Linked DNA regions of Cricetulus griseus. The protein of the gene in region 1 interacts with the protein of each later gene in a pairwise test. Links are inferred from orthologs where the notes say so. Each region holds a gene or a part of one and is shown in the gene's direction. Other genes may lie near its edges.

Region 1 (4,243 bases):
CCTAGGGCTGACATTAAACCTAACAGTAAACAGCAATTACCAACACCATCAGCATCATCGTAGGGGTGAGGTTGATGGAAAACAGGACCCCTGTCCTGGGATGATGCTCACATTTGCACGTGTCTCTCTGGGGAGTGACCTGAAGGTTCACACAAGCAACTACACAGTCCGTTGGAAAGTATACAATCCACTCAGCCATCTGTCCACTGCCCCTCCCACCTGCCAGTCCCTCCCCACCCCCCAGACATGCAATAGGGGGCGGTGGCAAGAGGAGGTTTTCCCACTCCTAACAAGCAAGCCCCTTATGAAAGAGAGAAATGTGACGCGGGAGGTCAGCATACTTTGTAAGAACTGTGCGATCCGTCCTTCTGTCCCGTCCCTCCGTCCCTCTGAGGCCTACGCTGGAGCGAGCAAGCTCCTGGGTCTCTAAGAGCAGACAGAAGGCCTGCAGCTCAGGCTCGGCCCTCATGCCGGCCACGTCTGCTAGCGTCATCTTTCTCATCTGCCTTCCACCCTCAAACTCCAGCAGCAGAGTTGCTCCGGATCCTGAGGGACTACCAAGAGCAAAGCTGACTGACTGGGAAGGAGAAAGGGGAAGAGATCCAGAGAAGAGGGAGGGCAGAGAAGAGAGCAGACACCCGGACTTTCCCAGAGAGCTGGGTTCCTAGGGCTCCCCCGCCCCCCTGGGGTCGAATTACAGAAGCTCCCATAGCCACGCTATTGGCCCGTAGGAGTCAGGGCAGAGGGCTCTGAGACCCTCCGGATGAGGACAGTAGCTTCTTTTCTTTCTCTGGTCCCCATCACACCCACCCTGATTCCTCCCAGACAATCCTTTGCGCACGTCCCCCTACATTCCGAGGCGGGTGAGGCAGTGACGCAGCCTTGCCCTAGGCGCCTGGGTTCCAGGCTCAAGTCTCTGCAGGGACTGGGTGGTGGCGGCCATCCCGAGCTGAGGGGATGATGTGTGCTGGATTCCTACCCTTCCCACCCTGTTTGCTCCCGGCTCCGCCAGGGTCCTTGAGACCATGCAGAGAGCTCTGGCCTACCGAGGCCCGCCTCAAGAGAGCCGAGAGGCCTCGTCCCCTCTCACCTCTTGTCAGTTCAGCTTTCTAGGCTGGGTGGGGAAAGGGCCGCGGAGGGTCGCCTCCCATCCCCCACATCCTGGAGGCGGAGGCGAGCAGAGTCGGGCGCGCGCAGAAGTCAATCTCTACTCCCCTTGGCCCCAGTGCTCCAAGTCAGCTCTGGCAGCGGCCGGAGCAGCCGCCGCGGCCCGGGCAGCCTGGGGGGGCGACCGCGCGTCACCTAGACTGAGGAGCGCCGGGGATTTAAATGCCACTGAAACGGTGATCCATCACCGCCGCAGCCGGTAAACTTTCGCAGGCGGCTCAGCCATTGGTTGACAAAGTCACGTGTCCTTCCCCTTGAGTCCTCCGCCTTCCCGCCCCGCCTCTTGCGCACTGTACATTCATATCATTTTTCTTCTCTGGTCCCATGGAGGAAGTGAGAAAGTTGGCACGGTCACCCAGGGCTTCGCAGGACCCAGTCACTCAGTGACAGATGGACAATGCAAGAATGAGCTCCTTCCTGGAATATCCCATCCTTGGCAGTGGCGACTCCGGGACCTGCTCTGCGCGAGCCTACACCTCTGACCATGGGATTACAACTTTCCAATCCTGCGCGGTCAGTGCCAACAGCTGCGGCGGCGACGACCGCTTCCTAGTGGGCAGGGGGGTGCAGATCAGCTCGCCCCACCACCACCACCATCACCACCCCCAGCCGTCTACTTACCAGACTTCTGGGAGTCTGGGGGTTTCCTACTCCCACTCGAGTTGTGGTCCAAGCTATGGCGCGCAGAACTTCAGTGCGCCTTATGGCCCCTATGGATTAAATCAGGAAGCAGACGTAAGTGGTGGGTACTCCCCGTGCGCTCCCGCTGTTTACTCTGGAAACCTCTCATCTCCCATGGTCCAGCATCACCACCACCACCACCACCAGGGTTATGCTGGGGGCACGGTGGGCTCGCCTCAGTATATCCACCACTCTTATGGACAAGAGCACCAGAGCCTGGCCCTGGCCACGTATAATAACTCCTTATCCCCTCTCCACGCCAGCCACCAAGAAGCCTGTCGCTCCCCTGCTTCAGAGACGCCTTCTCCAGCGCAGACCTTTGACTGGATGAAAGTCAAAAGAAACCCTCCCAAAACAGGTGAGTCCTGCCGGCTGGCAAACAAATGTTGCTTGATTTTGAAAGGGGCCGGTGCGCTTAGTTTCCTAGGAAAGTTAATGATTTTAAAAGATGGGTTCTTGCTTCTGTCTAGTGTCTTCTGGAGTTATAGTGTGTGGTGTAGGATGCCCAGGTGTGTTGGGGCAAAGCAGTTTCTGGACCTGGCATTTTCAAAGGGGCTGATGCTTCAGTGGTCTAGAAGTAGGAAGCGTGTGTGTGTGTGTGTGTGTGTGTGTGTGTGTGTGTGTGTGTGTGTGTGTGTGTGGTGTGGTGTGGGTGGGAGGTGTCGGTGGTGGTGGAGTTTTGTTAATATCTACAGGCTCCATTAATCAGAAGCCTGACCACGCTAATGGTTGACTTCAGGTTAACACTTTACATACACATCGTTTGTCACTAGAGCTTCCCAGCTGGGTTTGTGCTGAGCAGTTAACCGAATGTTGCCCCGAACATTGGGCAATCGGATAAGGGTTAAAGAATTTTTACCTTTTCCTCTCTTCCTCCGTTACCCCAGGGAAAGTTGGAGAGTATGGCTATGTGGGTCAACCCAACGCAGTGCGCACCAACTTCACCACCAAGCAGCTCACGGAGCTGGAGAAGGAGTTCCACTTCAACAAGTACCTGACACGAGCGCGCAGGGTGGAGATAGCCGCGTCCCTGCAGCTCAACGAGACCCAGGTGAAGATCTGGTTCCAGAATCGCCGCATGAAGCAGAAGAAGCGTGAGAAGGAGGGGCTCCTGCCCATTTCTCCAGCCACTCCTCCTGGAAGCGACGAGAAAGCTGAAGAATCTTCTGAGAAATCCAGCTCCTCGCCCTGCGTTCCTTCTCCAGCATCATCTACCTCAGACACCCTGCCTACCTCCCATTGAGGCCACTCCAGCCCAGCTCCGTAGTCCAGGCTTCTCCCTGGGCTAGGGTTTCTTACCCAAAGCACATCTCTAGCTTATCTTTCTTCCTTTACAGTCTCTCTTTTTCTTTCTGGTCCAATCCAGAGAGCTCCTGGGCAACATAATGTAGTTCCATAGAATTCTGGAGACTTGGTTGTAAATTAAATCCTTAATCCACATCGGGTGCCCATATCAATTTCTGGTGGCCCCCAAAATTCCTTCCTCACTGTTGTGAGAGTTTTTTTTACACAACCCATGGTTCCTTTCAGATGTCCCTTGGAGGACAGTACCCTTTGCCAGCAGGCATTTGAAGAAGGGAGGCATCTCACCTTTTATCTGTATATTGTTCTTCTCTACCTGGCTCTTAAGTAGGACACACAAAAAAGAGAGTATCCAAAGGCTCATGAAGAAGAGATTGACTGAGTGTGTTTACACAATTAATTCACCCCTTAACTTTCTCTTGAGAGATTTATCTTTATACAGATTTTCTAGAAACATGCAGAACTATATCAAACAGGGTGGGCAAACTTCCAAAACTGGTGATTATGGGTGGACAAAAAAGGGGGGACCCTGGCATTCAAACAGAACCAGATTCCTCAAAAGGTAGCCTCAATTTGCTCTTGCAGAGTCAAGAAGGCCTGAGAAGCCCAAAGTTCAGAACCTTTGCTGTGCCAAGACTTCCCAAATTACCGATTTCTTCTTGCTTCTCTGGCCACCCTCCACTTAAAAAGTGTGCTGGATTATTTGTAACCTAAAGGTACTCTTTTCAGTCACCCTTTCTTTCCACAGTTATCTTGGCTGGATACAATGTATTTTCAGCTAATTGTTAATGTGATGGCACAATGAATGTATATTTTGTGTGATTCGTGAATAGTCTTCTGCATGTCGCACAATGTTTTGATGTCCCTGAAGTACCACACTGAGTTCTATCAGTTATCTTTTGTGAGCCTACGATAGTCCCCCTTTCCTGTACAATCATGAACAGCTCTGAGATCCCAGAGGGATGTGATCCAGAGCAGAGTTTACGGGTCTTAAGACGTCTGTAATAAAAAATATTCAAGTTTTGGGTATGCTTAAGCATCTGTGTATTTGGCTGGGCTACAGTTTGTGTCTTACTACAAAGTAAGGGGAAGG
Region 2 (4,293 bases), on another chromosome or scaffold:
TTCTGGCTTTGGCTATAGTTCATTTCTTAGTATGTATGATCAAATATACATTGTTCCTATGGAGTCTGAAACCCCGTGTCCCACTTCCTCCCAATGACTGCACTTCCCACTCCTTTAGTCCTAAGTATGGATGGTTATCTACCTAGGTATCTACTTACCTACCCACCAATAAATCATCCATCTATCATCTATCCATCCACTCTCCTTCCTTCCTTCCTTCCTTCCTTCCTTCCTTCCTTCCTTCCTTCCTTCCTTCCTTCCTTCCTTCCTTCCTTCCTTCCTTCCTTCCCTTTGTCCATTCATCCATCCATCCATCCACCCATCCTTCCTTCACGCTATATATCCCCCCCCCTGCCCCCAGGAACCATCATCCATCCTCTATCCTCCATTCATCATCTTATCTGTAACATCTATTTATTCTAACAAGTATCCATACTTCTCTCAGTGGGTAGAATCCCATCTCTACCCTTTGAGGCAGGATACTAGACTTGGAGTTTGTCAGGGGCTCCCAGAGATCCCGGAGCTGTCCAGCAGCCTCTGGCTCCTGGCTAAGTTCTGTGTGTAGTGTGTGCCTGGAGGCTCTCCAGCGCCCCGCCCTGGGCAGAGAGCCTCTCAGGCAGGGCTGGCCAAGCTTCCCCGCTCACCACCCGTCTCCGCCTGTCTCTTTCCTCTGTCCACCTTCACCTAGGAGTCCTGCGTGCTTTGGCGGGGTTCCTTGCCCTGTCCAGGAGGGGATTCCCTGTTCCTGGGGCTGCTGTGCAGCGAGTGTCTGAGTGCGGGCTTCCCTCTTTTGCCCGAGGCGGCAGGTCGCCTTGCCTTTCTTTACAGCCTCGCCTCCTGCGGCTGGGTGGTCCTTTCTCTCCGCCCGGCTTTGGAGACACGCGCCCGATTTCAAAGGGGTGAGAGAAAACGCCGCCCATCAACTCGGCACCTGGCGTTGGGATCCTAGGTTCCTACCAAAGGCTGTGGTTGCGGGCATGCGGGCGAGGGTGGCATAGGGCGACTGAGGGCCAGCCTGGCTGGACCCGGCTCCGCTCTCGGGTAGAGAGAGGCCGCCCCGCCCGCGCCCCGGCTTGCGCCCCGCCCTCCCGGAGCGGTCTCCGCGGCTCCAGGCTCTCGCCATTGTCTCCGCCTTTCCAACAGGTTCTGGCGCGGGAGCGCGGGCGGGTGCGGGGCGGCCCGGCCCGGCTTTCCCGGGGCCGCCTCCCTTCCTCCGCGTGCGCGCTCGGGCCGCGTGGTTCGGCGGGGCGCCGCTCGGTGCAGGTCTCCGCAGATCCCCCTGAGCCCGACCTGGCTGCGGCCCGCCGCGTGCGGGAGCGATGCGTGCAGAGGCGGCTCCAAGTTCGGCGCGCACCCAGGGGGGCCGCCCCGCTCGGGCTCGGTCTTAGGCGTCTGAGCCGGGGTAGCGAGACAGTCACAGGAGGGGCCGGTGCTGCTTTCCCGCTTCACTCCCAGCACCTCTTGCTTTTTATCTTTATTTTTAAAGAGGGAGACCATGGACTGAGCCGATGCACGCCATGGAGTCCCGGGTGTTACTGAGAACGTTCTGCGTGATCCTCGGGCTCGGAGCCGGTGAGTGGCCGCCAAGCTGGGCCGGGATGCTCCCCGCCTAGGGTTGCCGCCCCAAGACCCTCTGGATTGGGGAGCTCTGGAGGGCGCGGGTTTGTATTTGGGTCCCTTCTGTGCTTGTCCTGGGGATTGCGAGGCAGGTCACGCCCTTAGGGTCTGTGGCTGAGGGGGAACTTTGCACAGAGAGGGGCTTAAAGTAGGTCACAGAGATGGGACCAGGCGCTCTGCTATTTTAAGCTTGGCAGCGCGTCCAGGTAAGGCTCTCCGGGTGAAGGAAGGAATCTCCTGTTGTCAGCACTTCCCAATATTGTCTCCAAGATGCGTTCTTTGAGCCATGGAGGCTTGCGTTTTAATGGCCCCCTTTCTTTCTTTCTTTCTTTCTTTCCTACCCCTCCCCACTCCCACCAGTTTGGGGACTTGGTGTGGACCCGTCCCTACAGATTGACGTCTTAACAGAGTTAGAACTTGGGGAGTCCACGGCCGGAGTGCGCCAGGTCCCGGGACTGCATAATGGGACGAAAGCCTTCCTCTTCCAAGGTATGGCCCAGTGCAAAGCCCCCTGTGCGGTGGGAGGAGCTGGCCCAGAGGTTCTTGCTAACTTGCCTGCTGCACCCCGGCGGGATAGAGAGTGCCAGCTGGGGGCTAGAGTTCCCTGTGAGCCTAGGAACCGGATCTTTTAAACTGGGGTGCCTTTTCTCATTTCCCGCGCCCTCCTCCTCACTTGCTACACTTGGCGGTTCTAATGGATAGTGCCTTAATTACAGACTAGAAACTCCAGAGGCAGATGGGTGATTTGGGCATCTGGGGAACAATAAATTGTAACACAAACGCCTCATTTGGGCGGAATGGATTTGGTAAGGAAACAGGACAGCTCAATCTTGGTTAAGACACTGACCTCCCAAAGTTTCGGCGCTGTGGTACCCGCCGAGAGCAATTTCTTTACGCTATTTTTTATTGCTTATCACTGTACTTGAAGCAAGACTACCATGGAAAGCTCCTCATTACGCCTTCCGTACCAGTGGCGAGGGGAAAGGAATGATACTGTTAAGATTATTTTAAAAGCATTTCAATGGTATATTCACCCAGAAGCACATCCCACCCCCCATCACCATAATTGTATGGGTAGGATTTTAAAACTTTTTCTTTTGGAGTCTGTGGACATTGGCTATTTTTAAATGTTCATATTTCAAATCATATTTAAATATACTGTGCAGTCAAAACACAATTTCAGTAAAAAACAACCTGCAAATTGATCGAACGAAGCTTTTGAAGACTGGCTTGTGGGAACGTGTTTAGCTTGAGGAACATGTTAGCTTGAGGGTCTAAAAGGTGGCTCAACTGTTCATGGAGATGGTGAAGCACAGATGAAGGCTAGAGAGACAGGGTTTGGTTTCCTGTATCCGGAGGAACAAGACGTCCTCCCCCACTACACATGGGGTTTTCTTTTGCTATTGGAAGCAATGGCTTTAAAAGAAGTGGTGCAACTTATAATTACCGAAGCGTTGGCTATGCAAAATGCAACCAACCCAGCACAGCTGCCTTCAAGAAACAGACATAGGATGCAAGTTGGATGGTTCTGTGGTGGCGCTGTTGCTGCACATAAGCCAGCGTGTGTCACCATGGACAGCAGCTCCTAAGCTCTGTAGGGAAAGGGAGAAACTGACATGTGTTGCATTTATTTAAGACGATTTGTTTTTTTTTTTTTATAAGAAATCAAGATGTAAGCTCTTTTTTTTAAAAAAAAAGAGGATCAGTTGAAGTTCTTAATTAGTGTTTTATTGTGACAAATGTTTATGATATTTTCTTTACTTTCAGATGCTTTGTGGAGGGTGGGGCTGGGATACTGAAAACAATGACCATATGTGATCATGGAAATAGAGCTCAATTGTCAGCAAAAATTCAGAGTTGAATTGAAATGCAATTAAGTGTAGGCTTTTCGCTTATACTATGTATTATTTCTGTCCTTGATTTTTAGTCTCTGGGGACTAAGCTATTTCAGGAACTGATGGGTTGAGTAACTAGGAAAAAACCAAGTTTCTAATAATCAAAACCTATTGAATTGTTCCGATAATCTCAAAGCTTCTATTATGTCTTCTTAGGGTCACTATCTTCCTATATAGAGTGTCCGTCTGTCACAAGCAACAAACTCCAGGAATGCACATTTTATGTGAGACAATTGGCCAATTAGACAATTTGACAGTTTCTAGGCAAAAGTCTCAGAGTATCAGTTTTTTTTTCTGGTTAGTTTAAAACAATATTTTATATAAGTAGTCAGCTTCTTCAAGGTATACATCATATTAAAAAAAACCTACAAGATTAATGTCCAATGGTATCTTTGAATTGTCCTCAGTTGGGGGAATGCCAGTGTTTACTGGTGGGTTTCTTTTGTTTCCTATCTAATAGCAAGATCAGTGCTAGAAAGAATAAATGCTTCACAAATATAGTTTTCATTCAAAGATGTAAAATTACATTTGCTGCCACAATACAAACATCACTTTGTGTATTAGTCTCTATTTACTGCTTGCTGTGTAAGGTATATGATATGTAATGATATGCTACTTATTGAGCTTTAGTAACTTACCTTACCGTAAGATTTTAATTCTGAAACCCACAACAACTAGACCTGTGACTGAGGGGTGGTTCTGTATGGTTCTGGAAATGTCTTTCCTCAGTTGCTAGGGGAGCAGCAGGTTTGTTAAGAAACCAGCCCTGCGTCATGGTGTT
Region 3 (4,117 bases), on another chromosome or scaffold:
TGCCCCCGGAGCGGCTAAGCCGGGGGTCCAGCAGCAGCGCTCAGCTACATCACGTGGACGTGTGGCCCTTGAACCTGCTGCGGCCCCGGGGTGGGCCTGGCTACGTGGACGTCTGTGGCCTTTTCCTGTTGCAGATGGCTACCATCTTAAGCATGGTGCCTGCGTGGCACAGTGCCCGGCTCCGGATCTTCCTGTGCCTGGGGCCTAGGGAGGCTCCTGGGGCAGCGGAGGGCAGGCTGCGGGCTCTGTTGAGTCAACTCAGGATCCGGGCAGAGGTGCAAGAGGTGGTGTGGGGTGAAGGGGCCGAGACTGGGGAGCATGAAGAAGAGGAAGGGGACTTTGTGAATGGTGGTCGAGGAGATGAAGAGGCCGAGGCTCTGGCTTGCAGTGCCAACGCCCTGGTGCGTGCCCAGCAGGGGCGAGGCGCGGCAGGAGGCCCTGGGGGGCCTGAAGGAAGGGATGGGGAGGAGGGACCTGCTACTGCCCTCACCTTCCTGTACCTGCCTCGACCGCCTGCCGATCCTGCCCGCTACCCCAGATACCTGGCGCTGCTGGAAACCCTGAGCCGGGACCTGGGCCCCACCCTTCTTGTTCATGGAGTCACTCCAGTCACCTGCACTGATCTCTGAAGCCTGTTGAGACAGGGTTGCATAGAGGGCCCAGGCCCATTCTGAACAATGGATCCCCCAGTGGACTCTGCCCTTCGGATGATGTTTTAAGGGGACCATGGTCTCCTTTGGATGGGGGGGACGTAGACACTAATTTTGGGTGGCTGTTCCCATAGTCCTGGGAGGACATTGTGGCCCTGCCCTTGGCCTGCCTCCACTTCCTTCATTGGTGCCTTGACCAGAGGGGCTGGTCTCTTCTGCGACTCTAGGCTACCTCAGTGTCCCCATCCTGGCCACAGACGCACCGCCTCCCTCTCCCACTTCCTTGGGTGGTGATGTTTGTGTTTTGTTTTATTTTTCTAACTACTGACCATTAATAAAAGACCAAAACACTATGGGCTGGCGGAGCACTGCTGGTGGGTAGGTGAGCGGGAGGTGGGTGGGAAGGGAGAGATCTGTAGGGGGGTGGAGACCAGAAGCCTTTTGAGGTCCCGGCCGAGAGGCTGCCACGTGCAGTCCTGGGGCAGGGATCGTAGAAGGGGCTGGGCCGCAGCCTCTGAGCGCCTTGCAGCTCACCCTGTGGCTTGGCTCCCGAGGCGGGCGGCCCATTCTTAACAGGAGGGGGCCACAGAAAGAGAGAGAGGGGAGGGATTGCAGATTAGGGTTTAGGGGGACCACGTGACCCTCTCTAGGAATGTGGTGACGTCAGGGGGCGGGGCCAGCCCCAAAATTGGGGAGGAAGGGGGGAAAAAAAAAGCCAGAAAAAGTTTCTTTGCGGGAGTCCCAAACCGGGCGTGGGACGGGACAGGAGGGCTCCGGGCTTGTGGGGGCCGTGACCTCTGTCTGGAGTGGAGTAACCATCCCAGACCATGTCGGGGCCCACCTGGCTTCCCCCGAAGCAGCCAGAGCCCTCCAGAGTCCCCCAGGGAAGAGCGCTTCCCCGAGGCGCCCTGGGGCCGCCACCGGCCCACGGAGCAAGTAAGTGTTTGTCTCTCGCACACCCGGGAGTGGCGGGGGAGCTACTGGCCACTCTCCTTCACCTTTTCTCTCCTGTCTGTCTGCTTTCTGATGTCTCCTCCCCAAGCCAGAGGCCCCTGCCCTTGTGCAACCTTCCCTGATTCCTAGCCCTTCCCAGACGCCCCAGATGCGTGAAGGAGAGGCACCCCGAGCAGGGCAGCCTTCACGAGGTACCATTCTCCATTCCCACCTCTGTTCTCTCCCTTACAGCACTCCAGCCCCACCCCAGGGTCAATTTTTGCCCCCTCCCACCTGAACAGTGTTATCAGCCTCCGGGGGTACCGGACGATCGGGGGCCTACTTGGGTGGGCTCCCACGGAGCACCCCAGCGTCTGCAGGTGAGAATTGGAGATGAGAGGAGGATGTGTGGGTCTCTGTCTCAGGGTGAAGGCGACAGAAGCCCAAGGGTTGTGGTCTATATTTGTTCTCCCTGCTTTGGCTCTGTCTCCAGGGGCTCCCGCCAGACAGGGGTGTCATCCGTCCTGGAAGCCTGGATGCTGAGATAGATTCACTCACTAGCATGTTGGCTGATCTGGACGGGGGTCGCAGTCATGCTCCTCGGCGGGCAGACCGACAGGTCTGTGTCCTGTGTCCTGTGTCTGCGTCCCCATCCCTAGCCAGTTCCCTTCTGTGGCTCTTCAGCCTGAAGCCATCCTTTCCACACTTTGCAACTAATGAACAGCTGGCTCAAGGAAGCACGGGCTGCCTCCTTGCCGGGCCTTGCCCGTGGGAACTTGTCAGAAATCATTGCTTCTCTGTGGTTCCCACCTGGAATGCATGGATGTTGGTTAGGGCCTTACTCACTGTTTCTCCATTGCGTGTCTCCCCAGGCTTTTGAGGTCCCTCCACCCCATGCTTACCGCGCAGGCTCCCTGAAGCCCAGTGGAGGTGCTGTTCCAACCCCTATGCTCCCAGCAGCCCCTTATGGTGGACCTACCCCAGCCTCCTACGCCACAGCCAGCACTCCAGCTGGTCCTGCTTTCCCTGTACAAGTGAAGGTGGCTCAACCAGTGAGAGGCTGTGGACTGCCAAGGCGGAGGGCCTCTCAGGCCTCTGGGCCTCTTCCAGGCCCCCACTTTCCTTTGCCAGGCCGTAGTGAAGTCTGGGGGTCTGGCTATAGGAGCCACCGTGAGCCAGGACCAGGGGTAAAGGAGGAAGCCGCTGGGATACATGGCCCTGCAGGAGGAGGAAGAGGAGGCGGGCATGGGCCCCAGGTGAGCCGGGTGGGGGATGGGGGACACTGGGTTTGTGGTCATTTTAGGTAAGTGGGCATTGATTGGGTGGCATGGAGTACTTAGGATACTGGTTTAGGGCTGGGGAGGCAGTTCAGTTGGTAGAGTGCTTGCTTACTATGCAGGGGTTCCAAGGTTCTATCCACAAGCATGGTGGAGGTAGAGGCAGGTGGATCAGTAGATTAAGGTCATCTTTGGCTACATAACAAGTTCCAGGCCAGCCTAGGCTATATGAGACACTGTTCCAACAATAAATAAATGAATAAATCAATCCTGGTTTTTGGAGTACTTAGAGGTCATGGGTCAAAATGGCCAAAGGGAATGGGCTAGGTACCTCCCCCCCATTAGCTTCTGGGAGATGTTCTCAGATGAGTTTCAGGGTTCTGACCTTACAGATTATTCATGGTATCAGAGACTGTAGGTAGTACCACAAAGCCCTGATTCTCACTGTAGGTCCCTTTAAGCCAACCTCCGGAAGAAGAGCTAGAGAGACTGACCAAGAAATTGGTGCATGACATGAGCCACCCGCCCAGTGGGGAGTACTTTGGTGAGCTGACCTGGTGGGTAGGGTGGGCAGAGGGAGGAGATGGTGGCTCTGGTGACATGGATATGTACAGACTGATGCTCATTGCTCTCTATCCTCAGGTCGGTGTGGTGGCTGTGGCGAAGATGTGGTTGGCGATGGAGCTGGGGTTGTGGCCCTGGACCGTGTCTTCCATGTTGGTTGTTTTGTGTGTTCTACCTGTCGGGCCCAGCTCCGGGGCCAGCACTTCTATGCTGTGGAGAGGAGGGCATATTGTGAGAGCTGCTACGTGGTGAGTGTTGGGCTGGGGGAAAGAGGGCTAAACTAAGTATCAAGATGGGTAGGCGGGTTCCTGCCCATCTAAGAGAGGGCCAGATACTTAGTCAGATGGGGCAGATGATGGAGGGGGCTTGAAGCTGGGAACTCAAGCAGAAACAGAAGAAGGAAGGAGCTCCACGTGGTGGCTATCTGCAGGAGAGACAATTAGGAGTTTGAGGTCAGTTTTAGCTACAAAGCAGGTTTGTCCAGGCAGTGGTAGCATATGCCTTTAAACCCAGCACTTGGGAGGCAGAGGCAGGCAGATCTCTGTGAGTTCGAGACCAGCCTGATCTACAAGAGCTAGTTCCAGGACAGGCTCTAAAGTCAACCCAGGGCACATGTTTCCAGAGATCATTTGGTCCATCAACCAAAAGAACATTTTGGGTTTTGTTTCTTTGATTGCCTGTTTGTAGTTTTGG
Region 4 (3,500 bases), on another chromosome or scaffold:
TGCCACAGAAGATGGAGAAATTATGGTTGGAAGCAGGGGGAGAGGAAAGAGAGGGACCTGAGGCTGCCTTGTCCTTTGACCTTTACCCTTGTGTAGGGCAAAGTGATCAGGGCCTATTGGTTTGTTTCTTTGCTGAGAGAAGGGGAAGGCTCTTCTGGAGGTTCAGCAGCTGTATTCATGGATAGCCGCTGTTTAACCGTGCTGCATCTTGTCTCTTCTCTTTGTAGATATTAATGAATGTTTAAGTATAAGTGCCCCATGCCCTGTGGGGCAGACATGCATCAATACAGAGGGCTCGTACACATGTCAGAAGAATGTGCCCAACTGTGGCCGTGGCTATCATCTCAATGAAGAGGGAACTCGCTGTGTCGGTTGGTATCTCTCTCTCTCTCTCTCTCTCTCTCTCTCTCTCTCTTTCACACACACACACACACACACACACACACACACACACACACACACACACACTTCTGAATTTCTGAATTTTGGCTTTTCTCTCTGTTTCCAGCACAGTCCTTCCCTTCTCTAGAAGAGAGAGTTGGTCCCCAAAGTGAAGACATTCTGCCTGTCCATCCGTCCCATTGTCCTTCCCCGGGCACAGGTCTTTGCTGTCTTGCCCAGACTATATTACAGTAGCACACCAGTACTTCTAGCCTTACCTTCAGTCTGCCCAGTGTTCTCAGGCTACCTGATCACAGCCTGTTGGCGACTAAGAATGGACACTCACAATTCAGTTCTCCTAAAGTGGTCACAGCAAATCTAGGTGACATAAATCTTGCTATTCCCCAGAGAACACAAGACCACTAGGTGGTGTCTTGTTCATTCCCACTATGTTCCTGTTCCTGTGTTGACTTGGGCTAGGGAAATCAGCTGGCCTAGATCTCTGCCAGGAAAGGGGCTTTCCTCCCCACAGTCCTTAGGCCATTTTAGCCCCTCCCTGACAGCCCTGGCTACTTCCTGTCTCTAGAGATCAGAGCTGGCTTCTTGGCGGCGGATCAGCTGCTGTTCCAGATTGGCACATTGTAGAAGTTCTATGAAGAGTAGATGGCTGCTGTCAGTGTACTGTTTAGTGTTGCACTCTAAAAAGCTCTGTGTGTCTTCCTTTCTCCTTCACAAGATGTGGATGAGTGCTCACCACCAGCGGAACCCTGTGGGAAGGGACACAACTGCTTGAACTCCCCTGGCAGCTTCCGCTGCGAGTGCAAGGCTGGATACTATTTTGATGGCATCAGCAGGACCTGCGTGGGTATGTGAATGTCCTTCGGGCCCTCGGGACCCTGGCCAGGTGACTCCACACGGGGGACAGTCTGTGGCACCTAGAGTGACCATGACCGTGTCCATCCCATCCTCATCTCAGGAGGTCCCAAGTGTAGGCAGCCCCAGAGTGAAGACCCTCAGTCAGGAGACACTGTCTAGCTGCAGCTCTGCCACCACCCTGGACTTGGGCCACCATCAGGGCACTAGTGGTGTCTCCCTGCTTCCTCATGGGACAGGTGTTCTGTTTGACCCTCAGCCTCCAAGCATTTCTAAGACTCCAGCCCAAGTCTGCATCTGGCAAGATAACAGTGATTTTTCTAGATTTGCTACAGACCTATAGAGCTCCAGGGCTTTGGATGCACAACTCTCTAAGGCAGTCAGATCAAAAGGTGACCAGGAGTGGAGTCAAACCCTATCCAGATAGTACTTGCTGTTACCAAACCAGGATCCTTGATGGAGGCTGACAGCTACCCTAACCATCCCCCCGGCCCCTCAGCAAAACCCAGCAGACTCTCCTGTGGGGAGCAGGCTGGCAGAAGGGCATCTGTCCAGATGTGCCACGTTTGTCAGAGCACAGGGCTTCACACAGATACAGTCAAGAGAGGCCTCAGCCCTTCCTTCTGAGACATGAAAGGACTTAAGGGCAGAAGTCCATGAATTGCTGCCATTGGGCAGAAGGGTGGGACATGGCCCTGCTCCAGTGGGCATGCCTTGAGCTGACTGCCCCTCTGTTTCAGACATCAATGAGTGCCAGCGTTATCCCGGGCGCCTGTGTGGCCACAAGTGCGAGAACACACCAGGCTCCTACCACTGCAGCTGCTCTGCAGGCTTCCGGCTGTCTGTGGATGGCCGGTCCTGTGAAGGTGAGAGTGGGTCACGGGGTGGCCAGCAGCCTTAGCCACATCCCTCCTCTGCTCGAAGACTCATTTGGAGTTTACTAGGCAGATATTTCAAGGATACTAAAGTCTCCACTCCAGAGACATGACTCTAAGCCAGTAGCCGCCATGCTGGAACTTGGCAAGTCTTCCTGGCAGGGCTTGGTCGGTTGTTTGGGTTCATGAGTCTTGCTGTGCACAGACAACAGTGTCTTGTGTTATCATCTATGATTATTATTCCTGGATGTGTCAAAGGTGTTCATAGCTATGTGCCAATAAAACTTTATTTACAAAAACAAGTGGTGGACCGAACCTGGCCTGGAGCTTGCTCTAAGTGAAGGGAATTGGTGACCAATAACTGGGTTGCAACTAGCCCCAAAGTTGAGAGATTTAGAAGTACCAAGGCTGTGTCACCTGTGTCACAACCTAGGAGATGAAGTGGGGAGGGTAGGAAAGATTTCCACTGAGAGCTAGAAGGGGCTGTGGTCATGCTAGGACTCTGGATATGCTGCTGTCATGCTGAGCCCATGCCCTGTGGGGACAGGCTCATGGAGGCTGTCACTACTATCCTGCCAGGAGATCATGTAGCCTCACACAGGCAGTAGCAGGGGTGGAGAAATTCCAGATTTCTCAGCTACAGCAAGCTGGAGTGGAGGCCCCTCACTCCTTGGGCATCTCAGTCTTGTAACTTCAGACTTCTCCTCCCTATTTAACATCAGGGAGGTGATGAGGAAATATTCTGCTCACTGCTCTCTGTATCCTCAGTCTGTAGGGGAGGCAGGGACTTGAGATGTGGCTCTGAGCTCTAACCCCTAGGAACCTCTTTTCTTCTAGATGTGAATGAGTGCCTCAACAGCCCATGCAGCCAGGAGTGTGCGAATGTCTACGGCTCCTACCAGTGTTACTGCCGACGAGGCTACCAGCTCAGTGATGTGGACGGGGTCACCTGTGAAGGTGAGGCACCCTGGGTACTGTGGGGAGCACCCTGGCCTTGCCACCCAACGCACAGCAGGTTCTGGCTGCATTTCAGAATTCACGGCAGAGAGCCTGACAGGATTTCTCCACCTGTTTGCTCCCTTGGAGGTGGGGCTGGATCCTTGCTTTTCCTCTGATAGGTCTCAGAGACCCTCTACTGGGCTTGAGAGTGAGGTTAGGAAGAGAATAAACCAGTTCATGGATTTCTCTTAATATGCATGCCATGGTAACCCCTTGGTGTGCTGGCACTCTGAGCCACAGGGCACAGGGCTTGGCAGCAGTAAGTGGCTGAGAGGTGAGGAGTGACCTGAGGGCCACAGAACCCCTGAGACAGAGCCACCCTCACCAGGCCTGGCCATCAACTTCTTCTCTGTCAAATGCAAAACTCTCTCC
Region 5 (4,146 bases), on another chromosome or scaffold:
AGAGTTCAAGTTTGGGGTCAGCTTGGGCTACACAGTGAGTTCCCATCAACCTGTCCTATTGTTATCACAGGGCCTGTCTCAAAAACAAACAGTAGCATTCTGCCTTTTTCAGGGCTGGGAATGGAAACTGGGCTTCCTGCGTGTAAAGCTCACTAAGTTACATCCCCAGCCCCAGGACTGTTTTATAGACACACCCATCATCTTTGAGATAGCTCCTGCGTCCACAGAGCCCCATATTAACTCCAAAGTGGTCAATGTTCACTGGCAGGGTCTGTGCTATTAGACTGAGCACTTTCGGGATGGAGACTAACTTCTATGCCCTCAGCAAGAGCTATACAAGAAGTGTTAGGCGGGGCACCAAGGGCCTCTGTTGTTTTGTGGGGTCACAAGACAATGTTGCTAAAACTTCTATATTTGTGTGTTTTGACATTTAGGTTGTGAACCTGGCCTTTAATGGCTGAGTCATCTCTTTAACCTTGATTGGGTGTTTTTGCTTTATTTTTTTAGATTTTTCAAGACAGGGTTTCCCCTGTGTAATAGCCTTGGCTGTCTTGGAACTTACTCTGTAGGCCAGTCTACCCTAGAACTTGCTGCGTTTCCTAGGCTGGTCTTGAACTTGCAGTGGTCCTCCTGCCTCAGTCCACCAAGAACTGAGATTAGAAGCATGCACTACCATGCCCAGTATGTTTTCAAAAAAAATTTACAAGGTTGGACTGATATGGTGGTGTACGACTTTAATTCCAACACTTCCAGGAGCAGAAGCAGGTGGATCTCTACATAGTGAGGTCCAGGTGGCTCAGGACTTAATAGTAGGACCCTGCCTCAAAAATAAACAACCAAGCCAGGTGGTGGTGGCACACACCTTTGATCCCAGCACAGGCAGAGGCAGGAGAATCTAGTGAGTTCGAGGACACCCTGGTATACAGAGTGAGTTCCAAGACAGCCAGACCTGTTACAAAGAGAAACTCTGTCTCAGAAAAACCAAAACGAACAACAACAGCAAAATAAATAAACAAACAAATAAACAAACATCTACCTACGAAAAGACGTACAAGCAGAATATAAATAGAATAAAAAGCATAAAAAGGTAAAACTCTTTCTCATCCCTTCTTCTTCACTCGGGCACTCCTTCTGAGTCATTATTCCACATGAAGATGGACAAACATTTCCAAGCCTAATATACACATCAAAGTCTCCCATTCTACAGACGACACTGCTGCCGCACTGATGTTGAAGTGCTAGTGAAAGACCACAGAGCTGGCAAGCTCTCGAGCTGAAATTCAAATCCAAATTTGTCTGACTCATAATTCAACGTGCATTCCTTCCGCTAAGCTCCGGGGTGTAAAATTTTATGGATGAAGAAACCGAGGCTCACAGACATCCTCGGCCATCAGAGCCACACGGTTCACTGCCCAGCATGGGAAAAGAGGAGGAGATGGCACGGGCTGCGTGGAGGAGAGGGCCTCGGCTTCGGTGGATCTCAGCTTGAGGAGGGCCACATGGGTCCAGTTTGTAAATCCCCCTTGCCCGTGCTCTTCGTGTACAAGCTCCACCCGAAGGCTGCTCTGACAGGGTCGGTGGGGTCCCAAACCCTGGGGTGGGGGCGGGAACGATGCCCGCATGGCCTCTAGCCGTCGGGGGCCGGCGCGTGGCGGGCGGGGCGCGGGCGGCACGGGGAGGAGCCTGCCGCGGGCGGGCGGCGCTGTCCCCGGGCTCCCGGCCCTGGTGGCGGCCGAGGAGGGCAGCTGGAGAGAGCGGGCGCAGAGAAGGTAGAGCCTCCCCGACCCCCGCCTGGGCTCTGATGGTCACGGAACAGCGGACCCTGGGCCGAATTCCTGGGGAGGGGGTCTGGTCCCATTACCCGGGCGAGGGCTTGAGCCAAGATTCCTATTAAGTCACATAGTGAAGTTGGAAAACATACGGGACCTCCCTGCAGCCGGCGCCACCCGCTCCTCCCCGAGGGGCTTCGGGAGGATGCACCCCTACGCCTGACTCCGAGAACGCAGGGATAGGGTGTCCGGGAGGGATGCGGGTGGGGCTCTTCGCACAGCACAGCCTTTTGGGAGAGGTTGGGGGGAAAGACAGACACCTGTTGGGATGGAATTCTAACAGGACAGCAACTCCCCTTTGCCAGTCCAGCCCTTACTAGCGCTCCTTTCTTCCTAGCTCATTTGCCCGAGGCGAGCCCAAGGGTGAAGGGGTTAGCTCCATACAGGTCACTTTCCTTGCTGTCAACGGCCCAGTGTGGGGTGTGAGCAGGAGCAGCCTAGGCTGGTCCTTACCAGAGTCCACCTTGACTTCAGGGTGGCCACCTCCAACTTCTGTCTTCCTCACCCTTGGCACAACAAGCATGCATTTGTGCCGGGAGGGGGAGTCTCCTGCTTCCCTATGCAGGGGAGGGTGGGGTGGACTTTTCCAGAGAGGGAGCCAGGCCTGGCCCTGGCCCCAGGAGCTCTCATCACCCCCCACCCCTCACTTCTCCAGGGAGCTGCCAAAGCCAGCTCAGGACAGGATTATGTGTACTGGGTAGACCACGGAGAGGCAGCAGGGACAGACCTGGGGGAGCAGAGAGAAGCAGGAGGTGGAGAGGGGACCAGCATCGGACAAGAGAGAGACAGGTGGTGCCCATCACTCCTTCTTCCAACTTCGAGGGGTTGAACATGGCTCCTTTTCCACCAGGGCTGTTGTGGACCTCAGTGGCTGGCCCAGCAAGGGGAAGGAGAGGGCTCAGCCACTTTGTTCCTGTCTTCAAATTCCCAAGTTCTGGGGTCCCGGGAGTGGGGGTTTGGCTAGCTTTTGCTTTCCCTCTGTTCTTTGCCTGCCCTGAGCTGGCCCTGTGTTGGCCAGCAATGCTTGGATTCCTCTGGTGGTGCCATTTAGATCCAACAGAAACAGTGTTTTTCCTGGAAAGCAGAGTTGAGATGGGATGAGGGGTGTGGGTGGGAAGGGCCTCAAAGAGAAGGAGGGGGCTGGAGGACAGGGCCTTGGGAGAGACAGGCTATGGAAGCCCCTCTCTACAGCATTCAAGGCTAGACTTCAGGGTGGACTTCCCGGGTATACCAGAAGGCGAAGCTGGTGACTGGGAAGGATGAGCAGCTATGGCTGCATCTCTCTCCTTCCTAAGTGCCCAGCCATTTTGGCTGAACATCGGAAGAAAAAAAAAGAAGAAGAAGAAAACTAGCTGTACATGAACTAGGTTGCCACGAGCCAAGGCCTCGTGGATGCTGGCACCCACAGGGAGGTTAAGTCACCGCCTCTTCTCTAAAGATGAAGCCATTAGCCCACTTAGTTTATCCCTTGGACAAAAAAGTGCCTGTGGTCACCCAGATGTGCCTGGCTGTTCCTTCATAAGGAGCTTTATCTAAGAGAGGGAGAAAGGTCTGGGAGGCAGGTAGGAAACAAATACTCGGGTTTTTTATTTTTATTTTTACTTTTTTTTTTTTTAAGGGGGAAAGAGTTTTTTTTGTTGTTGTTGTTGTTTTTGTTTTTTTGTTTTTTTTTTTTTTGAGATAAGGGTCTTGCATCACCCAGGCTGGATCTTCTGCTCCCCGACTCAAATGGTGGGATTAAGGCTTTTGCCCCCACACTTGGTGTCAAGGGCCCTCTGGTACCTCATAGGGGTACCTGGCATAGCCTGCCTCCTCTAGGTCCTGGAGCTCTGGGAGGAAGAACCTCCTGGTTCCCCCTTCCTCCACCCTGCCCTTCCTCGGGCCTCCAGAGGAGCTAAGTCCATCTTGGGCCACAGGGAGGGAACTAAACTGAACTGGAAGGCTGAGGTCAGACCCCCACCCTTGACTCAGCAGATGACAAAGACAGTGTTCCTTATTGCTCCCACCCTTAGGTCCTAGAGGGGTGGACCAGTTTTCCCTCCACTCTGCTGGTGCTGTGCTGGGACAGCCCTTTAGTCTTCCGGCAATCTGCAGGGGTAACCACTGTGCTTCTTCCTCAGAGTATCCTCCGTGCCCAGATGCCAGAGTAGCTAACCTGCCCCTGCCTCCCAGCCCAGGGGCAGTCAAGGGAGAGCAATGGAGACCTGGCTGGGCAGGTAAGAGCAAGGGCTGTCAGTCTCTAATAGTAAGAGCAGGGAAGGGGCCCGGCAGTTGTGGCACACACTTTAAACTTGGGAGGTAGAGGCAAGTAGATCTC
Region 6 (3,954 bases), on another chromosome or scaffold:
CCGGTGCTTTCTCCTCAGTGCCTGTCTCCCCACGGTCTCTGTCCTCAGGGATCTCCTGGCCTGACCTTGTGCTCTGCCCTTGTTCTTCCTCAGGGTTTCTCCTGTGCCTGCTCTGAAGATGGGCTGTCCACTAAGGAGTATGGCCCAGATCCCGGAATTCTCTAGTTCAATCAGAAGAGATGCCTCCTAAGATTAGGAAGCCGGGTGCTGGGATGGTTGTGAGAATGGTGGGGGTGGAGGAGATGGGGAGGCAGGACAAAGGAGAGGAAAAAGAGTGGTCCCTTGGATGAAGGAAAGGGTGGGAAAGCCAGGTGATGGTTGGATGGACTTGTGAACAGGTTACAAGGGGGAGGTTATTACTCCACTGGGTGCGGGGAGCATTTCTTGATTCTGGCTTGGTCCCTGTGCCTGGGAACTCCAGAAAGAGAAGAGACCCTAGAAGGGAAAGAGGAATACAGCCTGAGTGAAAGGAGGAGGGTGCCCTGGGTCTTAGACAGGGAAGATCGTTGTCCTTTTCAAAGACAAGTCCTCATCCTCCAGGGCCCATCCTGCCCATGAGTGGTACAGGCCGGAGGCCCAGCCTCTGCCCTTTCACTTAGCTTGAGGCTCCTGTCTCTCTGGATGGATACCACAGGGGTGGCCGCAAGGAGTGTGTGTGGGGGTGTCGAAGCCCGCCTCTCCTCCCCCCCTTTGCGCCCCCTGGTTCCTCCCTTCCCCCTGCCCACTCCGCTCCCCCCTCCTCCAGTCCCTCCCTCCTCCCCTGCCGGGTCCCAGCCTGTCCCCCTCCCCCACTCGCGATCCGGCCGCTGCTGCTGGGCCGGACCCCCCGGGCTCAGCCGGGCTCCTTGCGGAGCCGCCGCCGCGCCCCGTTTGCTGAGGAGGAGGCCCCGGGCCGGGACTCCTGGCGCGGGCATAAAACGGGCCGGAGCCAGCGCCTAGGGCACTACAGCGGCGTACGGCCCGGGTCAGCGCCCAGCCGCCCGAGCTCTCCCGCCCCGCCCGGCCGGGAGCGGACTCCGCGACTGCGAGACGAGCCCCTCGCCACTGCCCCCCTCCTGGCCCCGGCCCCCTCCCGCCGGCCCGCCTCCGGTCCGGCCCTACTCCCTCTCCTGCTCCCTCCTCCCGCCCGCCTCCCCAGCTGTCCGCTCCGCGTCATGCCGAGCCTCCCGGCCCCGCCGGCCCCGCGGCTGCTCCTCGGGCTGCTGCTCCTCGGCTCGCGGCCGGCCGGTGGCACTGGCCCCGAGTCCCCCGCGCTGCCCATCCGTCCTGAGAAGGAGCCGCTGCCTGTTCGGGGAGCGGCAGGTAGGTGGGCTCCAGGGGGGAGGCGCGGGCGGGGAGTCTGGCTCGGGGCAAGTCTGCACCCACCGGGACAGGGCCCCGGGCGCAGGTGGCTCGGCGCAGCGGGAGGGCGGGAGGGGTAAGCAGAGGCGGCGGGGCGCAACGGTGCCAAGGGACCCAGGGCCTGGCGGGCAGAGCTCGGAGCAGGCATTACGGCACGAGCAACCGGACAGCGGCCGCCAGCCAAGCCCGTCCCCACAGGCTGCTCCTTCGGCGGGAAGGTCTATGCCTTGGACGAGACGTGGCACCCGGACCTGGGGGAGCCTTTTGGGGTGATGCGCTGCGTGCTGTGCGCCTGTGAAGCGGTGAGTGGATACCGCAGCTGCCCGCCCTACCCTAGAGGGTAGCGGAACGCTGGCGTCCTAAGCCGTAGTAGCCTCGGAGATGCTCAGGGGAAGGCTGGTCCTCAAATCTGGGGAAACCCCTTTCAAGTCTGCGGTGTTGACAGTTATTGATCGCCCACTATGTGACTGGCTTTTAGCCAACTTCCCCCATCCCATTGCAACCTTGCTAGATAAATGGCATTAATTAGCCTTACTTTGCAGACTTAGAGAAGTTAAGAAACTTGTCCAGGGTCATGTAACTTGTAAATAGCGGAGCTGACTGATTCCAGCAGAGGACCTTACCCTGGCGTCTGATGGTTGCACGTTACACTCACTTAATTTCCCTGTGTTCTCTGCCATCAGCCTCAGTGGGCTCGCCGTGGGAGGGGCCCTGGCAGGGTCAGCTGCAAGAACATCAAACCCCAGTGCCCCACCCTGGCCTGCAGGCAGCCGCGCCAGCTGCCAGGACACTGCTGCCAGACCTGCCCGCAGGGTGAGGCCCACTGTCTCCCGTGTTAGGGAGGGTGGAAGGCTCAACACTAGGTTCTGTGCGGCTTGGATCGCTGAGGAGGACTGGCCCTCCTGGTACCCTGCTGAATCTAGTGGTCTTATTCCTTACCCCCCCCAACGCAGAGCGCAGCAATTTGGACCGACAGCCAGCTGGCCTAGTCTTCGAGTATCCAAGGGACCCAGAGCACCGCAGTTACAGCGATCGAGGGGATCCCGGCGCTGGCGAGCGGACACGTGCTGATGGCCACACGGGTAGGCTGGGGTGGAAGTGGGCCTGACGAAGTTTGGGGCCAGCGGCAAGGGTTGACAGTGCTTAGGCCATCCTCTCTTCTCACAGATTTTGTGGCGCTGCTGACAGGACCGAGGTCGCAGGCGGTAGCTCGCGCTCGAGTCTCTCTCCTGCGCTCAAGTCTTCGCTTCTCTATCTCCTACCAGCGGTGAGACCAGGGAAAGAGCAGCGCGGCTAGGAGTAGTGAATGGGGGCATGAAAGGGGGAAGACTGCGGGTTCTGGATCCAGTCTCACTGGACCTTTCTTCACAGGCTGGACCGCCCCAGCCGGGTTCGGTTCACAGATCCCACCGGCAACATCCTGTTTGAACACCCTGCTGCCCCCACCCAGGATGGCCTGGTGAGATGATGCCACTTACGTGTACTTATCCAAAATGGGCACTTGCTGAGAGCATGGTTGGCATTGCCTCCTTTGGTTCTCACAACAGCCCAGTGGGAGAAAGGCCCTGACATTATGATGCCCATTTTACAGAGGAGGGAACTGAGGCTCAGAATAGCAGAATGTGATTTGTTCAAGGTCATTTGGCTAGCAAGTGGTAAGCCAGGACTTGAACTCAAGGATCCTGGGTCCTTTTTAGGAGGGTCTGGGGTCTCCCTTCCATACTCCTCCCTCACCAGGACTGGGCCTCTTAGCTGGCTTGTCCTGCATAGTGACTGTAGACTTCCTTGTCTCTTTGCTGTAGGTTTGTGGGGTGTGGCGTGCAATGCCTCGGCTATCTCAGAGGCTCCTGAGGGCAGAACAGCTGCATGTAGCCCTGGTGACACCCACTCACCCTTCAGGAGAAGTCTGGGGGCCTCTCATTTGGCAAGGTGCTCTGGCTGCAGGTAGGAAGAGTGAAGAGTTCCCAGATAGAAAAGACTGAGCCTTCTCTATCCAGGGGTGGGTGGACTCACGAGAGGCTCCTCTGATGGCTGTCATGCCCTCCATTCCCCAGAGACCTTCAGTGCCACCCTTACTCTGGAAGGCCCACAGCATCGGGGTGTAGGGGGCATAGCCCTGCTCACCCTCAGTGACACAGAAGACTCCTTACATTTTTTGTTGCTCTTCCGGGGTCTGCTGGGACCCAGGAATGAAGGTAAGCAGGTGAGAAGGCGTCCGGTGAGAGTATAGGGAGGGAGCTCAACTTTCAGAAATGCTCACATGTGCAGCCCTTGCAGGTCCCGCTCAGGTTCCCCTGAGGCTTCAGATTCTCCACCAGGGACAGCCACTCCGAGAGCTCCAGGCCAACACCTCAGCTGAGGTAAGGGGAGGCCTGGGTCTTGCTGCTGCTTGCTCTGGCCTCTTGTTGTCCACCACATTCCGCTCTGTTCCCAGGAGCCAGGTTTTGCTGAGGTGCTGCCCAGCCTGACAGACCAAGAGATGGACTGGCTGGTGCTGGGGGAGCTGCAGATGGTCCTAGAGAGGGCAGGTGGGCCAGAGCTACGCATCAGCGGATACATTACCGCCAGGCGGAGCTGTGACGGTGAGGCAGGGTGGGGCTCGGCGCTGTGGGC
Region 7 (4,071 bases), on another chromosome or scaffold:
TAGAGACAGCCCAGATACACGCTACCATTTGTTTCTCTCCTGTTGAAGAGTCAGTAATATAGGGACAGTTTGTTTCTTTGTAGCGTCTAGAATTGCATCACAGTGTCTTTCCAAAGTAGCTATCCGTCAACGGGGCTGGACATAGTTTTCTTGGGTGCAGCCTTGAAGTACAGGAGGAAAAGCTGTTTTAAATCTGTCGCACAGGGTCACCTTTGATGGAGTAAAACCAGCAAGCATACACAGCAGACTACCCTTTCTTCCCTTTCCTTTCTTTTCGCAAATGAATCCAGGTTGGAGAGCTATTATTCAGGTAAGTCAAGCAAAAGCCTTTTCAATCCATCGGGGCGCTGAGCGCAACCCAGTGAGGCTGGCATAGAAACTTGGACTGTTTGAAGCGGTTTTACATTCGGTGCGATGTGGCAGGTGTTTCCAGACTTTCCCTATATCACGAAATGTTTCTCCCTCCTCTTTTTTTTTTTTTATTTGTATTTCATTGTTTTGTGTTTATGTCTACCGAGCATGGGGAACTTGGGTCTTAAGACTTTGCAAATCTTGGAAGAATTTGGCCATTTGCCCAACAGCATCCCCCACTCTGACGGGGAGTGGTGTGTGTGTGTGTGTGTGTGTGTGTGTGTGTGTGTGTGTGTGTGTGTGTGTGTGTGTCCTTTCCTCATCCCCACCCCCTTAACACATTTCAAAGAGCGCCCTAATAAACGGTGACAAACTTGCATGTGCTTCCCTTATGACTAAACTCCTGGGCCTTTGGCCAATCCCTGCCCTGCTCATATGGCCCCAAACTTCAGGCATCCCGGTCAAGAGCTCCTCCTTTGTAGCCCTGGTTCTGGAACAGAACAGCGAGGGCGGAGGGAATAGCGGTGTCTTCCTCCTGGGGGAAGGTGAAACAACTACTCAGAGGAAGAGGGCGTTTCCTTCCCACGAGCTGTAGCTGGCTCTGGGTCTTGGCCTCGGGGCTCCACCCTGCCCCTCCCGGTGCTCTGGGAAAAGCCAGTCGCCACACACAGGCACACGCAGACCGGGCGCCACGCCCTAAGGAGAGCAGCCTTGGGGCCCATCACCATGGCAACGTCAGAGCTCCTTCCACTTCTCCACCCAGATGACTGCCCCCCCACCCCCCTCCCCGCGCAGCCAACCGGCTTGTGCGCGTTCCTGGAGCGCGTTATAAAACCTGCACGGGTGGCGCTCCCTGCTCAGCCTGACCTGAGTGAAGGGGCAGTGCCCGTTTCCAGTCCCGGGACAGCCTTAGCGTGCAGAGCATGCAGACCATGAGCACTTTCCTGCGAAAGCGATGCCTCTGCCTAGGCTTCCTGCTCTTCCATCTCTTCAATCAAGTAAGTGGCTCAGGCTTAAGATGCCTCCTTCTAGGCTAACCCTAATCGGTCCTTGGCTCATTCTGCCTTACGTTGTCCCTGATAAGCAGGGCTCCTTTCCTTGTCCCGTTTCTCTTCCTAGGTGTCTGCAACTCAGCGCTGCCCGTCCTCGTGCCCGCTCCAGTGCCCCACTACGCCGCCGACCTGCGCCCCCGGGGTGCGCTCCGTGCTGGACGGCTGCTCCTGCTGTCTGGTGTGCGCTCGCCAGCGCGGAGAGAGCTGCTCCGAGCTCAAGCCCTGCGACCAGAGCAGCGGCCTCTACTGTGACCGCAGCGCAGACCCCAGCAACCAGACTGGCATATGCATGGGTAACCCTGTCCCTGGCCGCCCCGCCAGCACTCCCCTCCGTGGCCTGACCTCTCCTGGGGCAGCTAGGTGAAACTGTTCCCTCCCTTCCTCCCTTAGCCGTCTTCTTCCCTTTCTTGGAGAGAACTGAGCGAAAACATTTGTAGCAATAGTACAGTACAGTACTATGTGGAGAGCTTACTGGGTATCAGGCGTCAGACTGAAAGGAAACATGCTCAGAGCAGGTACATCACTTGCCGCCTAGACAGGGGACAAAAGCGGAGTTTAAGGGTCAGTGAAACCATTTCATTTCGCCACTTTCAGGGGAACGCTTAGGATGATGTGTTGGACGTATGGGCTTGCTCACAGGCCTCCAGTTCCCCCTGACTGCAGCCCGGCACGCTTGTTTTCACACCTGTGATTGTCCTACTTGAGCCAAAGGAATTTCTGTCTCCTGGGAGGACTATGTCACTCCTGTCAGGGTTGCAGTAAAATCAAATGCAGGCAACTAGCCAAGGCAGGCTCATGAAAATTAATCAATGGGAGATCAATTTCCCACGAGATACACTGCTGTAATCAGAATGGCCCCTACCTCCCTTGGTAAGAGCTTGAAGCAAGCCTTCTTCTCTTTTTTTCCCTCCCAAGAATTCTTAATGCCCTTTCAGAGCTGCTCAGTAAAACTATTTGGTTTTAAATCCTAAACTATTGTAGAAGAAGAATTGAAGACTGTTTGGGGGAAATGCTCTTTTCTTTGGAGATAGGGTCACTGGAGTGTGACACCACCATTTGTACCTTTGCTCTAGCATAGAAATGAAATCATTCCGGGATAGGAGATTTGAGAAAGAAGTGGAGACGTGATAGAAGCCATTAGTTAGCCAGAACGTGTATATTGGCAGTGTCCAGAGTCCATCTCTTTGCTCGTTTATAAGAACTAGGTGAAGAAAAAAGGCCCAGGTGGGATTGGTGCCTTCTCCTTGTTCTGGAAGCATCTACAGGGACCTGTTTCTCCTTGAGATGTATAAGCCCCTCACTTCTGACCGTGTCCTTCCAATCTCACACAGCTTTCCAGTTAATCTGTGCTTTGATTGTTTTTCTCTCTCTCTCCTCTTCCCTCTGCCTTCCTTCCTTCCTGAATATTCCAGTTCTAGAGGGAGACAACTGTGTGTTCGACGGAGTCATTTACCGCAGCGGAGAGAAGTTTGAACCAAACTGTCAGTACCGCTGCGCCTGCAGAGATGGGCAGATTGGCTGCGTGCCCCGCTGCCAGCTGGACGTGCTGCTGCCTGGTCCCGACTGCCCAGCTCCCAGGAAAGTTGCAGTGCCTGGGGAGTGCTGCGAGAAGTGGACCTGTGGCCCAAATGAGCAGGGGACCCTGGGAGGCCTGGCCCTTCCAGGTGAGGAACTGAGCAGACATAGGGGAGTCAGAGTAAACGCAGTCACAAAGCAGGCATGGTTCTAGGATTTGGGATGAGAAAGAAGGCTGGCTTGCTTCTGGCCATTCCGTTGTGAATTTCAGATTGCCCCTCTCCCCCAAGATCACATGCATCCTTTATCTAAGTCTGAGCCAGATTACAGAAATATTCACACAGCTTCTCTTGTAAAGGGCTCTGATTTAGTCAGTCACTTCTGTTTCATTTTTTAATTATTGGGTGGGTATTTTTTTTTACTCTCTCTCCTGACTGACCCTGAGTAAAAATCCCTTCCTGGATTTTTGATTTGGTTGGCTCTCCTTACTCACCAAAATTAAAATGTAACATTGAGGAAATAGCTCCATTGGTAAAGCTCTTGTAGTGCCAATGTGAGGACCATCCTTGGATCTCTCGGATCCAAAAAAAAAAAAAAAAAAAAGCCTTATGTGTAACCCTAATCCTGCGGGGGCAGAGATCTGCAGGTCCCTTGAGGTCACTGGCCAGCTAGACTAACCTAATCAGTTAGCCCAAGATTTCTATGAATGAGTTCCTAAGGAGCAACCTTTGAAGTAGACCTATGGCCTCTGTACACATGCATATACATATACATGTATGTACACCTTCAAACACACGGACACACACACACAACCACCCACACACACACACACACACCTGAATATATACATATATACAAAAAATTAAATTGTTAGCATGACCTTCCGGTGTACCAAATCACACACTGAAATCATTCAGCTGATGATGCCATATGGTCCTGTGTTCATATAATTCCTAAATTTCTATGACAAGCTGTCCTAAGCTTCTTAGGGTCACGTGAATAAAGATTTCTTGAAGTCCTGCATTGTGCCCTAACTGTTAGGGGATTACAGAGAAACCCAGTACTATGCTCCGCAAGACCTGGCATATGTTGGCTACAGATTTAGAATTCACTCTCCAGTGTTGCCTAAGTGACAACATGTATCTATCCCAAT

What was found.
Region 2: the proteins of Hoxa1 (region 1) and Nell2 interact in binary tests that used the Homo sapiens proteins (3 or more experiments, as listed by UniProt). The link is inferred for Cricetulus griseus from reciprocal best matches to the Homo sapiens genes HOXA1 and NELL2.
Region 3: the proteins of Hoxa1 (region 1) and Trip6 interact in a two-hybrid assay, tested with the Homo sapiens proteins (2 studies listed by BioGRID and IntAct). The two-hybrid records come from large-scale screens. The link is inferred for Cricetulus griseus from reciprocal best matches to the Homo sapiens genes HOXA1 and TRIP6.
Region 4: the proteins of Hoxa1 (region 1) and Fbln1 interact in binary tests that used the Homo sapiens proteins (3 or more experiments, as listed by UniProt). The link is inferred for Cricetulus griseus from reciprocal best matches to the Homo sapiens genes HOXA1 and FBLN1.
Region 5: the proteins of Hoxa1 (region 1) and Adamtsl4 interact in binary tests that used the Homo sapiens proteins (3 or more experiments, as listed by UniProt). The two-hybrid records come from large-scale screens. The link is inferred for Cricetulus griseus from reciprocal best matches to the Homo sapiens genes HOXA1 and ADAMTSL4.
Region 6: the proteins of Hoxa1 (region 1) and Chrd interact in binary tests that used the Homo sapiens proteins (3 or more experiments, as listed by UniProt). The link is inferred for Cricetulus griseus from reciprocal best matches to the Homo sapiens genes HOXA1 and CHRD.
Region 7: the proteins of Hoxa1 (region 1) and Ccn3 interact in binary tests that used the Homo sapiens proteins (3 or more experiments, as listed by UniProt). The link is inferred for Cricetulus griseus from reciprocal best matches to the Homo sapiens genes HOXA1 and CCN3.

Annotation. Positions count from the first base shown.
Region 1 is NC_048601.1:89,186,543-89,190,785, forward strand, and holds Hoxa1 (homeobox protein Hox-A1), read left to right. Parts: upstream 1-1,443; 5' UTR 1,444-1,557; coding exon 1,558-2,206; intron 2,207-2,735; coding exon 2,736-3,091; 3' UTR 3,092-4,191; downstream 4,192-4,243. UniProt on the Homo sapiens protein: Sequence-specific transcription factor. Regulates multiple developmental processes including brainstem, inner and outer ear, abducens nerve and cardiovascular development and morphogenesis as well as cognition and behavior.
Region 2 is NC_048595.1:391,942,191-391,946,483, reverse strand, and holds the start of Nell2 (protein kinase C-binding protein NELL2), read left to right. Parts: upstream 1-1,493; 5' UTR 1,494-1,508; coding exon 1,509-1,572; intron 1,573-1,977; coding exon 1,978-2,106; intron 2,107-4,293. UniProt on the Homo sapiens protein: Plays multiple roles in neural tissues, regulates neuronal proliferation, survival, differentiation, polarization, as well as axon guidance and synaptic functions.
Region 3 is NC_048597.1:116,225,497-116,229,613, reverse strand, and holds the start of Trip6 (thyroid receptor-interacting protein 6), read left to right. Parts: upstream 1-1,317; 5' UTR 1,318-1,477; coding exon 1,478-1,586; intron 1,587-1,835; coding exon 1,836-1,963; intron 1,964-2,076; coding exon 2,077-2,202; intron 2,203-2,455; coding exon 2,456-2,839; intron 2,840-3,310; coding exon 3,311-3,404; intron 3,405-3,502; coding exon 3,503-3,672; intron 3,673-4,117. Other genes in the region: Slc12a9 (solute carrier family 12 member 9), read left to right, coding at 1-629. UniProt on the Homo sapiens protein: Relays signals from the cell surface to the nucleus to weaken adherens junction and promote actin cytoskeleton reorganization and cell invasiveness. Involved in lysophosphatidic acid-induced cell adhesion and migration.
Region 4 is NC_048595.1:382,056,844-382,060,343, forward strand, and holds part of Fbln1 (fibulin-1), read left to right. Parts: intron 1-227; coding exon 228-371; intron 372-1,117; coding exon 1,118-1,246; intron 1,247-1,994; coding exon 1,995-2,120; intron 2,121-2,966; coding exon 2,967-3,086; intron 3,087-3,500. UniProt on the Homo sapiens protein: Incorporated into fibronectin-containing matrix fibers. May play a role in cell adhesion and migration along protein fibers within the extracellular matrix (ECM).
Region 5 is NW_023276806.1:60,816,913-60,821,058, forward strand, and holds the start of Adamtsl4 (ADAMTS-like protein 4), read left to right. Parts: upstream 1-1,346; 5' UTR 1,347-1,573; intron 1,574-1,649; exon of another isoform or gene 1,650-1,769; intron 1,770-2,484; 5' UTR 2,485-2,618; intron 2,619-3,949; 5' UTR 3,950-4,025; coding exon 4,026-4,045; intron 4,046-4,146. UniProt on the Homo sapiens protein: Positive regulation of apoptosis. May facilitate FBN1 microfibril biogenesis.
Region 6 is NC_048597.1:67,916,608-67,920,561, reverse strand, and holds the start of Chrd (chordin), read left to right. Parts: upstream 1-1,154; coding exon 1,155-1,302; intron 1,303-1,473; coding exon 1,474-1,643; intron 1,644-2,024; coding exon 2,025-2,154; intron 2,155-2,288; coding exon of another isoform or gene 2,289-2,294; coding exon 2,295-2,423; intron 2,424-2,508; coding exon 2,509-2,608; intron 2,609-2,712; coding exon 2,713-2,800; intron 2,801-3,143; coding exon 3,144-3,285; intron 3,286-3,395; coding exon 3,396-3,536; intron 3,537-3,618; coding exon 3,619-3,701; intron 3,702-3,775; coding exon 3,776-3,923; intron 3,924-3,954. UniProt on the Homo sapiens protein: Dorsalizing factor. Key developmental protein that dorsalizes early vertebrate embryonic tissues by binding to ventralizing TGF-beta family bone morphogenetic proteins (BMPs) and sequestering them in latent complexes.
Region 7 is NC_048603.1:644,007-648,077, reverse strand, and holds the start of Ccn3 (CCN family member 3), read left to right. Parts: upstream 1-1,271; 5' UTR 1,272-1,274; coding exon 1,275-1,349; intron 1,350-1,470; coding exon 1,471-1,696; intron 1,697-2,815; coding exon 2,816-3,067; intron 3,068-4,071. UniProt on the Homo sapiens protein: Immediate-early protein playing a role in various cellular processes including proliferation, adhesion, migration, differentiation and survival. Acts by binding to integrins or membrane receptors such as NOTCH1.